2 linked regions of the Rattus norvegicus genome follow. The protein of the gene in region 1 purifies or fractionates together with the protein of each later gene. This does not show direct contact. Links are inferred from orthologs where the notes say so. Each region holds a gene or a part of one and is shown in the gene's direction. Other genes may lie near its edges.

Region 1 (6,001 bases):
TTGCCTAGAAGCATGTGAATACACATGTTCATGCAGCACCTGAGGAAGGCAGAAGAGGGCGCCAGATCTCATGAAACTGGAGTTACATAAGGTTGTGAATTATTATGTGGTTCCTTGGAATCAAGCCTGGGTCCTCTGGTCCTGTCTTAACAGCTGAGCCATCTCTCTTTCCTTCCTTCCTTCCTTCCTTCCTTCCTTCCTTCCTTCCTTCCTTCCTCCCTCCCTCCCTCCCTCCCTCCTTCCTTCCTCCCTCTCCCCCTCCCTCCCTCCCTCCCTCCCTCCCTCCCTCTCTCTCTCTCTCTCTTTCTCATACACTCTCTTTCTCACACACTCTCTCTCTTTCCCTCCCTCCCTCCTTCCGTCCCTCCCTTCTACCCTCTCTTTTGGTTTTTTTTGAGACTGGGTTTCTCTGTGTAGAACTTGCTGTCTTGAATTTGCTCTGTAGACCAGGCTAGCCTCAAACTCACAAAGATCTGCCTACCTCTGCCTTCTGAGTGCTGGGATCAAAGGCATGCACCGCCACCACCTGCCCTTTTCCATATCTCGATTAAGCAATCTAATTCTATCCCATGCCTAGTTTAAAAGATGTGAGTTTTTCTCCATCTCCTGGCAGCTGTTGGCGTTTTCAACTAGCCTTTATTGCTTTCCTCAAACTCTAACAAAGTTATCCTTGGGCTTCCTTTTAGCCCCTTCTAAATTCTTGTATAAATAATACCAAAGAACCCCCAAGAGAATCTTACTTTTTCCAGGAACAGAAGGAGAGGAGTACTCTGACGGTCCCCTTGGGTCCTCCACAGAGGAGCTAAAACTAGAGACTGATAAGGTCATGAACTCTGGAGAGAGGGTGCAGGCTCACCTGCCACCTTTGGGCTTTCACACTAGCAAGCTGAAAGCCATCCGGTGCAGGATACTTTAAGGCTGGTGTGCCAGCCCCACCTCAGCTTGCACACAGGGATGCTACCACTCCTGCTTGTCCAAGGCCAGGATGGAAGATCCCTCTTGTTCTACAGAATGAGGTGTGCCTGCTCTGTATCCCCCACCCTCACTCCCGAAAAAGCACAGCTGCACGGCAAAGGCATTCACCTGCACTGAACTAACTTTTTTTATACATTGAAAGTTAAAACATCAATTTTTCTAGTCACTTTTTAAATATAAAAAAAATGCACTTGCTACTGTAAAAAAAAATCCCTCTTTGGTCACAAGCTCATCTAATCAGTTTTAAAATAAAATAGTTTTAAAATAAATTAAGATGTATTTATTAAGTGTATCTGTACACATGTGAAGGTCAGGTGATAACTTGCCAGACTCCTTCCCCCCGGTGGGTTTCTGGGGATTGAACTAGAATTGACAGGTTTGGCCTCAAGCATCTTTACCTGCTGAACCAACTCACGGGGCTCCAGTTAGTTATACTCTTACTATCTTTATTATTTTGATACTGAAAATTCACGGACTTGGCTAGTAGAGTCTTCAAGAGAGCTGTGTCGTTTTACCCATTCCCATTCATCACCACTGTTAGCGTTCCTTCTAGGCTCCGCCCACAGTTACCTGGCAACAGCCAGGTGTGCCTGGCTTACTATAAACGGGGCTGTTCGCCCCTTCTCTCCTTCATAGTCTTTGCTCCTTCTCTCCCTGGCCCCTTTCTCCCCTTCTCTCTCCCTCCCTCCCTCTCTCCAAGCGTCCCTGCCCGGCCTCTTCTCTCTCCCTCCTCCCTTCCCAACTCCACTTCCCATGCCCTAAATTAACTATTCCAAACTATATCCGTGGTATGGCTGGTGCCTCACGGGGAAGAGATGCCTAAGGATGGGCCCGCTGAGGCACCCTTCCCACCTCACCAGCGCCTCTACCAAAACATATCCTGGCCTCTTTTTTTTTTTTTTAAATAAAACAGAACAACCACTGCCTACATTCTAATACAAGGCATTCTAAGCTGGTATCTCTAGGACTTTTTTTTTTTTAAAAGCAAGGAAGGAAGCCCTTTCCGCCCATTTTTTTGCGACACGGTCTCACGTATCCCAAGCCTGCTTTGAAAACCATATTGAAGTTCTGATCCAGCACCCGAATGAATGATGTGATTAACTGGAGTGCAAACACACATTTATTCCCAAGTCCTCACGCAGGCGAAGCAAGCAAGGCCACCCATTGAACTACTTTTCCTCCTCCAGGAAACACTGGGAAAAGGCCGAAAGCCCTCCCCTTCCTGTCCCGGGGCGGAACTTAAGAACCCGGCGCCTGGGCCGGAACGCAGTGCTGCCACACCAGCCTTTTCCGGCTGTAACCGGAAGTTGCTCTAATAGAGGTGGCTCCTTGTCAGGTGATCAAGATCCGGGTAGGAGGGTTCGGAGGTTCAATCTTCCTGACTGACGCGTCTCTAAGACTGGCTTGTCCACTGTGGGACAGGGGAACGGACTGGTGGCGTCGCTGGCGCTCGCTCTACGGGGACAGGTACGTGACGAGCTAGGACGGCGGGCCCGGGAGGCGTGGGACCCCCTTCCGGGGCTCAGGGACAGAGGCACCTGAAACCAAGGATCAGGAGACAGCTAGTCTGGCTCTGTCCAGGTCCCAGAAGAAAGATCAGACTGGCATTCCTGGGTACAGATTGGGCAAACTAGGGCCCAAGAAAAGGGAAGGGCGCGCTCAAGCTCCTTGCCAGGCAGGGGCTCGCCCTGACTCCCTCTTAGCCTCGGGGGCGGGACTGTCTCACGTGGGTAGTTAGTGATTTGGTTGAGTGGAGAGATGAGGAGCTTGGTGAACAGATTTGGGATGAAGCGTAGGAGACCTGGACTTGAGTTCGCTGCTAATTGTGCGTTCTAGGCCAAGTCCTTTACCTCACTGAACCTAGTTTCCACACTTGTCCAACCGGGCACTGCTTCTCAAAGCATGATCCTTAACAGCGCCTGCTCTGAAATCCTCTGGGATGCGGGCTCTTCAGCCCTGGACTTTCCCGACAGCTTGTTTCGAATCTGGGTTTGGATCCTAGGAAACCTTCTTTTGAATGTTCTCCTCGGGAGTCCTATACCTACTGGTGTTTCATCTGAAATGCTGTCCCGCTGTGAATGCGGTATTCGATTCGAGGCAGCTGGAGCCCGTTGGAATCTTTGAGACTTCTAGCTTAGGAAAGAACGCCGGAGGAGAATAACTATCTTTAAAAGCTGGCGCGGGGTGGGGGGATTGGGTGGATGGGTTATATCAAAGAGGGCTCCCGCTTAATCTTTGCAGCTGAAAGAGATACAGCTAGGATTAAATAGGTGGGTTCTAGGGGAAGACAAATGTGTACATAGTAATAAGAATTTAACGGAAGACTTATCAGAGGTGACCACTGATAGGATTGACTGTCTCCTTGTGAAAGAAAGTATACAGGAGGTGGTCCTTTCCAATTCGAAAGTCTTTTATTCTGAGTATTTATTGTGAATCTATCTTTCCATGGATAACTCTCTCTTCGGAATGTTTGTGACACTTCTTTTGTGGTCTGAGACAGGATATCGAAGATCTCAGGCTGTCCACAAGCTCCTCTTGCAATTCAAATTGGCCTTGAACTTCTGATCCTCCTGCTTCAGTCTGGAGTGCTAGCATCTCTCGTTACTTAGTACCATTATGCCTGTTGAATGTGACATTTCTTTGTTTGCCTTTCTTGAGCTCTCCTCCTTAGTCTCTATCTCTTGTCAGTGAGGCCAGCACACTTGATCTTATGTAATCTTTTCCTGGTTGTCACATTTGCCATCCTTTTCAAGGACTTTGGAACGACTCATCTGATAAAAAGTATCTGAAATGTATGTCGTATTAATAAACCGGGATCCATTGCATTGGTTAGTAATTTTTTGTTTCATGTTTAATTTTTTTTTTTTTTACTTTATTTTAAGTCAGGCTCTCACTCTGACACTCAGCCCAGGCTGAGGACAATTTAGGTCAGTCTCTGTTTGCCTTGTCTGTGTCTGTGTCTCTGTTTCTGTCCCTGTCTCTCTCTCTCTCTCTCCCTCTTACTCCCTCCATCTCTCTCTCCCTTTTCCAGAGTATCAATATGTAGCCCAGGGTGACCTTAAACTCATGGTCTTCCTGCCTTAGCCTCCCAAATGTTGGGATTGCCCGTGTTCCCCAAGGCTCTGCTTGCCAGTGAACTCCGATTACAGAATGGATGTCTGACTGCGGTTGTTTGGGTCAGTCTTCTCCATGGTTTATAAACTGAACTTTAATTCTTTCTCTAGCAGTGTGTGTACAGATGTGAGAGAATGTCTGCAGTTTGTAAGCTAGCTATACATCCAGCATATATGACCAATTCTTTTATGGCCCTGACTTGCACACCTAGACTTTTCTAATCTAACATTAGATTTCCTTACTTTGCACTTTACCAAACACGAAGTAGATCTCTTCCATTTCCTGATAGAGTACTTAAGAATGCTTATGTTGTCTGGAGAAGCAAAGGTTCCATATTATGACCCGATTCTGCTGACACTTCCTCCACAAAACAAAAGGTTGGGGCTGATCCAAAAGTTCTTGCCTGTTTTCCTGTTGTTTATGTTTCTCAAGATTGAAAAACAAAAGTTGTGAAACGGTCATTCAGTTGTTACCTAACATTCAAGATAGTATGGCCTTAGACTCAGGTGTCCTCAGTGGTGAGGAGAATACTCTTAATTTGTTGGATTTTAAAACTTATTAATTTGAGAATTTCTTTTAAAGGGACACTTGATATAAGTGAAAATGGGATTTGGTGGTAAAAATAAGTTCAGGAAAAGCTACTGACCTTTATCCTTTCTTAGTGTTTTAATGCAAGTACCACATTAAAGGCACGGAGAGTTCTCACAATAAAAATTTGGGGCTTTATAATAAGCTGGCATAATAAAATGTTTTGCTTGCTTGGTGTTACCAAATTTATTTGGTATAGAACCTCTTTTTTTATATCCTTAGCCCAGGGCCTTCCTTCGTAGTATCCAGGGTGGCTTCAGACTCCTCTCCTGCTCCAGCTTCCTAAGTACTGGATTGCTGAGGTGGCTCCCACACAGCGTTACTTTTATGTTTTGTTGTTGGTTTGTTTGTTTGTTTGTTTGTTTTCTTTGTCTTTTTGTGTGTTTTCCAGACAGAGTTTCTCTATGCAACAGCCCTGGCTGTCCCGGAACCCTCTTTGTAGACTAGGCTGGCCTCAAACCCATAAAGATCTGCTTACCTCTGCCTCGACAACACCAAGATAAAAGGCATGTGCTCTGTATTTTTTTATTGAAAAATGAGTCAGCAAATTCTGACCTGAAACTTTGGCTTGTAGGCCAAATCTAGCCTTATGGCTATTTTTTCACATAGCCTCAAAGCTAAGAATGACAGCCGCCCCCCCTCCCTCCACACACTCCCAAACCCCCGTCCAGGCTGATCTCAAATTTGTGGTGAGCCTATTGTCCAAGTGCTAAGATTACAGGCATATATCATGCTTGCCTGGCTTTAAATCTCTGGTGTTTGAGGGAGGCTGCGTATGTGTGCACGGGCACTTGTTTGCTTTCTGATCTATTTACCTATTTACTTTTTTTATTTTGAGCCAGAGTCGCCCCTTGAGCCTAGTGAGGCTGGCTGGCTGGCAAGCTCCCAGGATCTTCCTGTCTCTTCCCTCGTCCTCAGTGATAAGGCACAGATATGTGTTGCAGTGCCCAGCTTCTACCAGTGCTCTGGGAGTCTGAGCTCGGATCCTAATGCTCGTGCAGCAGCTCTGACCAGTCAGCCATCTTCCCATCGGGAACTAAATTGAAATAATAATCCCAGCACTTGGGAGGCAGAGTCAGATGGATTTCTAGAGGCCAGTCTGGTCTTTTGAGTTTCAGGGCAGCCAGAACTACGTAGGGAAACCCTGTTTCAAAATCTTAAAACCAATCAAACAAACAAAGCAAGCATACATACATACATGTATATACACATGCATACACTCTCTCGTGCTACTGATTTACATCTCCCTCATGGCTGGCAGTATTGAGCATATTTTCATGTGCTTGCTAGCATCTGTACATCTTATCAGCTTTTTACATTTATT
Region 2 (5,713 bases), on another chromosome or scaffold:
GTTTTTGTACTTTACAATTCTAAAACTAATACTAATACTCTGGCCAGGTGGTGCAGATGTGTGCTTTCAATCCCAGCACTGAGGAGGCAGAGGTAGGTGGTCTCTGTGAGTTCAAGGCCAGCCTGCTCTACATCAAGAGTTCCAGGACAGCCAGGGCTACATATAGAAACCCCATCCTGAAAAACAAAAACAAAACTTCAAACAAACCCACACACCCATAGCGTCTCTGTTAGATGCTTAGATAGAATTGGCAGGAAGAAGTTCTCCCAGAACTTCTTGAAGGGGAAAAGCTCCAAAGTGTTGCCCAGGCACCAGCACCTGCCTGCTTTAACATTCATCGATTGTCTGCCTACATATCTATTCCTCTATTAGTGTATGTATCAGTGAAGGCACGGAAAACATTATATGTTCAGTATCTTGCACAATACCTAGCATATAAAACATATATATTTAAATATAGCATAAATGAAGAAATACGAAAAAACTAGAGACAAGTTAGTTACTTACTTTATAAACCCAAACTGATGTGCCCAGGGCAATATTTGATCTGGTCTTAATCTGAAAACTGAAGTAGTTAAACAGAAGCACCATCCATAGAAGACCAGAGTAGAGTATTTTTAATTCAGACTGGGTTGAATTGGGCTGGAGAGATGGCCCAGAGGTTAAGAGCACTGACTGTACCTGTTACGGTTGCTGCTCTTGCAGAAGACCCTGATTCAGTTCCCAACATCTACATGGCTCCTAAAAACTGCCTATCACTCTAGGCAAACACCCATGCAGATATAATATACAAACCCCCTTTTAAAAGAATAATTAGAGGCTTGTTCTGCAAGCATAAGGACCTCAATTTGACTCCTCAGTATTCATGTCAAAAGCCAGGCATGGAAGCCTCTGCCTGCAACCTTAGCAGAGGGAGCAGAGACCAGTCCTGTATGTGTACACTCACATGTATGCATCACACACACACACACATACATGCATGCACAAACTCCCAAGTAAAAGCTGGTCTGCGGGGATGGGGATTTAGCTCAGTGGTAGAGCACTTGCCTAGCAAGCGCAAGGCCCTGGGTTCGGTCCCCAGCTCCGAAAAAAAAAAAAAAAAAGAAAGAAAGAAAAGAAAAAGAAAAAGAAAAAGAAAAAGAAAAAAAAAGCTGGTCTGTAAAACTGGGGATTCAAGATTTCTGTAGTTACTGGAGTCAAGGAAAAATCTACAGAGATTAGCTACCACAGATCCATCGCTATATGCAGAAACACTTTTTTTAGGGGTGGGGGGGAATAAGACAGGGTCTCTCTAGGTGGCCAAAGGTAGTCTCAAACCTCCTAATCATTACCTCAACCTCCCAGTGCTGGGATTACAGGGCTATGCCACCATACTTAGCCAATTTCTCAGTTTAGGTTTTGGTGAACCCGATGCTTTAATACTAGGCGAGCAAAATATAGTGACATATATTTTACAGAGCTGTCATACTTATTTAATAAAACATTACGTTTCTTCTTTCCAACTGACCTAGAAGAATTATACTTGTTCAGAGATTAAATAACCCACCAGACATTTTATAGCTGATGAGTCTACGTGAGACCTCAGGATGTATGCTCTATTCCAAGGTCTATGCCACTTTTACAATCTCATAGGGACACAGTGGAGGTCAGGCCAGAAAAGGAGACAGCCGGGATCAGGCACTCTTCCCTAGCAAGTGGCGAGGGCAATTCACGCCTCCTCGACTAGAGTCAGTTTAGAAAACCAAGCTGCTTTCTGACGTCCACTGTGATACAGGCTAGACTGGGGTAGTGGCCACCTGCGCTCCCCAAAGCCTTCATCACTGTATCACCAACGCGGATGCTCTGACGTGCTGCAGACTGACGTTGGTGTCAGGAGTGACAGATGCTCCAGTAGCTGGCGGCGGAAATAGAGTTTCTTGCTGCGCTGCTGACCAAACTTCTATGGACAAGCAAAACCCCTGGGTCCTCTCTGAGGGGGAGGGCGGGGGGTGGGGGCGCGTGGGCATCGAAGATCTACCGGTACCGGGAACATCTGGTCCATTCCGGCACGTGGGTTCACAGGGCGGAGGGCGGGAACTAAACAGGGCGAACTACAATCCCCACAATGCTCCCGGGCCGCGGCAGCAGGGAAGGAGAGGGACCTCAGGTGTCTGCGACCTCGGTGCCTTCGGCCCGGAAGTGCCCGAGGAGCCGAAATGGAGCTGGTGGAGCTGGGCGGTGAGTCTCTGTGCGTGGCCGCGCCCACCCGGTCGCCCCAGGCCACAGCTGGGACCTGCTTGCCCCGCCCCGAGATCGCTGGTGCCCTCCAGTAGCTCTGGGGGGCGGGCAGATGGGAGGAGTGATGGAGCAGTCGGGGGTGGGGAAGGCTAAATCTAGGCTCGCCCCGAGAGATCAAGGGTCTGGAGGCCTCTGGGTTTGGCGCCCAGGAGGTGCTGAGTCGGATTGCTGCGGGATGGGCTTTGGGTGGACCCGGAGAAGGGGCCGAGCTGAGTAGGCAACTGAGCTCCGTAGACTCCAGATTGGCCAAGGGCGGAGTTTGACGTTTGGGGTTGTCTAGGAAGCTTTGGAAAGCGGTCTGTGTTGTGGGTGAGGTTTGGGTAGATGGTAAGGGGGAAGTCAGGGAGGTATAGAGACTCTTCTGTCGGAGAAACTTAGGAGTCAGGGCGTCAGATGAGCTTTACTATAAATAGGTGAAGGAGTGAACTTTGGGATGAAGTGGACCAAAGAATAGGTAAGCTTTTGGGTAAAGTTTGATGAAGGTTAAATTTAAGGAGAGGGTTGGTTAGAAAAGCAAGGCCCTTTCTTTCTTTATTTTATCTATGAGTACACTGTAGCTGTCTTCAGAAACACCAGAAGAGGGCATCAGATCTCATTACAGATGGTTGCGAGCCACCATGTGGTTGCTGGGAATTGAACTCAGGACCTCTGGAAAGGCAACTGGCTAGTCCTGGTAACCACTGAGCCATCTCTCCAGCCCAAGGCCCTTTCTTGAATGTAGGGTTTGGGTTAATCAGGAGCTGAATGAAGATCTAGAACTCAGATAGCAAAGTTAGGTCTTGGAACTTGGTGATGGAAAGGGACATACCCAAAAGGCAAGTTTGGGACTACAGGATGCTGGACCAGTCCTCATCCTGAGTGGGCAAGAATGTAGACTAACTCGGACAGTTGAAGTTGGGATGACTCCTGACCAGAAAGCAGCCCCTCACCAATTCTTTGTACCTCTCTAGCTCCTTAGCACCTCTGGCAACACAGGTGCCATGGCCTTGATTGAAGGCGTAGGGGATGAGGTGACTGTCCTTTTTTCGGTGCTTGCCTGCCTTCTGGTGCTGGCCCTCGCCTGGGTCTCAACACATACGACTGAGAGTACAGATCCCCTACCACAGTCGTCAGGGACCACAACACCAGCACAGCCCAGTGAAGCCATGACAGCCATTGATAGCATCAGAGAGGAGGCCCCAGGAGCTGAGAGTCCCAGCCTGAGGCACAGAGGTCCATCTGCACAGCCAGAGCCTGAGGCAGGGGTCACAGCATCAACACCTCCAGACTCTCCACAGGAACCCTTACTGCTACGGTTGAAATTTCTCAATGACTCTGAACAGGTGGCCAGGGCCTGGCCTCAGGACACCATTGGCTCCTTGAAAAGGTAAGCCTGGAAAAGGGTGAGAACAAAATGTTAAAAATGGGGTGGGTGACTATTGAAGGGCCACCATATGAAATTCTCCCTCATTTTTCTGTTTGAGAAAACTGTCTCCTCACATTACATGCCATACCTGTTAACCTGTTCCAATCAGCCCCTCAGAGGCCTGGATCTGGGTGGTCCGATGTAGGGCAGGGGTGAAAGTTGGGATTGATTCTCTGAACAAAGGACCAGGATTGCCTGAGGCCTGCTTTCTTACCCAGGTCCCTCTCTCCTCAGAACCCAGTTTCCAGGCCGGGAACAGCAGGTTCGACTCATCTACCAAGGCCAACTGCTAGGAGACGACACCCAGACACTGGGCAGTCTCCACCTTCCCCCCAACTGCGTTCTCCACTGCCACGTGTCCACAAGAGTCGGTCCCCCGCATCCTCCCTGCCCACCGGGGTCAGAGCCCGGCCCCTCCGGGCTGGAAATCGGCAGCCTTCTGTTGCCCCTGCTGCTTCTGCTGCTGCTCCTGCTCTGGTACTGCCAGATCCAGTACCGGCCCTTCTTTCCCCTGACCGCTACCTTGGGCCTGGCCGGCTTCACCCTGCTCCTCAGTCTCCTGGCCTTTGCCATGTATCGCCCGTAGTGCCTCCACGGGCTTTTGGCAGTGTCGACGGCCCCTCTGGACCTCATTCCCCAAGGCGCAAAGGGAGCTGCTGTCTGCCCAGGCCCACCTCACCCGCTGCCTGTCTTTTCCCACTACCCTGGAGCCCAGCCTTGCGCAACAGAGGACTCCAGGTGTTAGCGGAGGCCACCCCATGTGATCTTCATAGCTCTGGGCCATCTCCTGGGGCTGCTGGCCCTCAGCCTTCTCTGACAGTGGGCTCTTCTGAATCAGGCACCTGCTGCCGCTGCCTTGGCCTGGCACAGAGCCAGACCACCCCAATGGGCCCATCTTAGTGTGCTGACAGAGGATCAAGATACATCTAGTTTCAAAGAGATGCCTAGGCTGAATTGGAAACTGGTGAAGACTGGCGAAGGGGAATTGAGGGGGGGGAGAGTTGTTTTTCTGGAATTTGTGGAGATTAAAGAAACTGTGATGTTTTCACACCTAGTGTGTCTGTGTGGGGCTTGAGGGTGGGGAGCCCTTGTCCTAGGAAAATGGCACCTGCCCTAGATCCTGTGTTCGCAAGCTACCCCAGGGCTGGACAGCGGACCGCGGCTCTTTGCATCTTTCACGACAAGTTCTGTGGCCCCGCCCCCGCGACATGCTCACTTCCCGGAAGCGGAGGGCGGGGCTCGAGACTCCTCTGCTCGCAGCGCCTGCCGGGAGCCACGTCTCCCCTTCCCTAGCGCCGGGCTGCGATTGGTGTCTGGGGACGATCCGGGGGCTGCTGGGAAGATGGCGGACTCAGTGGCCCGCTGATGAGGAGGCCCCGGGGGGAGCCCGGCTCCCGGGCCCCGAGACCTGCTGAGAGAGTGACCTACGCGGGGTCCGGGGAGTCATGTAGGGTGGCGCCTGCGGGGCGGACCTCGGTTGGGCGGCGGGAGCTCGTGTTAGTGGTGGAGGCCACGGACTGCTAGCCTCTTGGGGCCGGGACAGGGTGTGGGGGCCCCTCCCGCGGACAGCATCAGCTCCGCGCCTTGGCAGACGGCTCACTCGGGCTCGGCGCGCGCCCTGCGAGGTTGCGCTGTGTTCTCATTTCACTAGTTTGGAGGCTTAGGCAGAGAGGCGAAGACATTAGTCCAAGGTCACGCAGCTGGTAAGTGGGAGCGCCCAGCATGGGACCCAGCACCGGCCCGCTGCAGAGCCTGCGTTCCACCCACCCCGCCGCCGCCTCCTGCGGGAGGGGGAGGTGGTCGGCAGGGCTCGTCGCCGGGACCACCGGGGCTCCAGGCTGGGTGCGACCACTAGCCCTTTGAATGACCTCGGGCTTAACCTCTCCGCCGCTCTGGGCCTTGTTTCTCCACCTGTGAAATGAGGTAATGCCAGCCCTGCTACTCCTCATCAGCGTGCACGGAGCATCGAAGGAGATATGCATGTGAAATGTGAATAGAGTTGCACTGAGCACATTTAAAGAATTAGGGCTT

The links.
Region 2: the proteins of Rnf185 (region 1) and Tmub1 purify together in Homo sapiens (affinity purification with mass spectrometry; 5 studies listed by BioGRID and IntAct, with this or other methods). This does not show direct contact. The link is inferred for Rattus norvegicus from reciprocal best matches to the Homo sapiens genes RNF185 and TMUB1.

Annotation. Positions count from the first base shown.
Region 1 is NC_086032.1:82,549,801-82,555,801, reverse strand, and holds the start of Rnf185 (E3 ubiquitin-protein ligase RNF185), read left to right. Parts: upstream 1-2,335; 5' UTR 2,336-2,442; exon of another isoform or gene 2,443-2,513; intron 2,514-2,825; exon of another isoform or gene 2,826-3,118; intron 3,119-6,001. UniProt on the Homo sapiens protein: E3 ubiquitin-protein ligase that regulates selective mitochondrial autophagy by mediating 'Lys-63'-linked polyubiquitination of BNIP1.
Region 2 is NC_086022.1:11,619,766-11,625,478, forward strand, and holds Tmub1 (transmembrane and ubiquitin-like domain-containing protein 1), read left to right. Parts: upstream 1-2,165; 5' UTR 2,166-2,217; intron 2,218-2,348; exon of another isoform or gene 2,349-2,429; intron 2,430-2,589; exon of another isoform or gene 2,590-2,731; intron 2,732-3,227; 5' UTR 3,228-3,257; coding exon 3,258-3,643; intron 3,644-3,916; coding exon 3,917-4,268; 3' UTR 4,269-4,732; downstream 4,733-5,713. Other genes in the region: Fastk (fas-activated serine/threonine kinase), read left to right, coding at 5,048-5,129. UniProt on the Homo sapiens protein: Involved in sterol-regulated ubiquitination and degradation of HMG-CoA reductase HMGCR. Involved in positive regulation of AMPA-selective glutamate receptor GRIA2 recycling to the cell surface.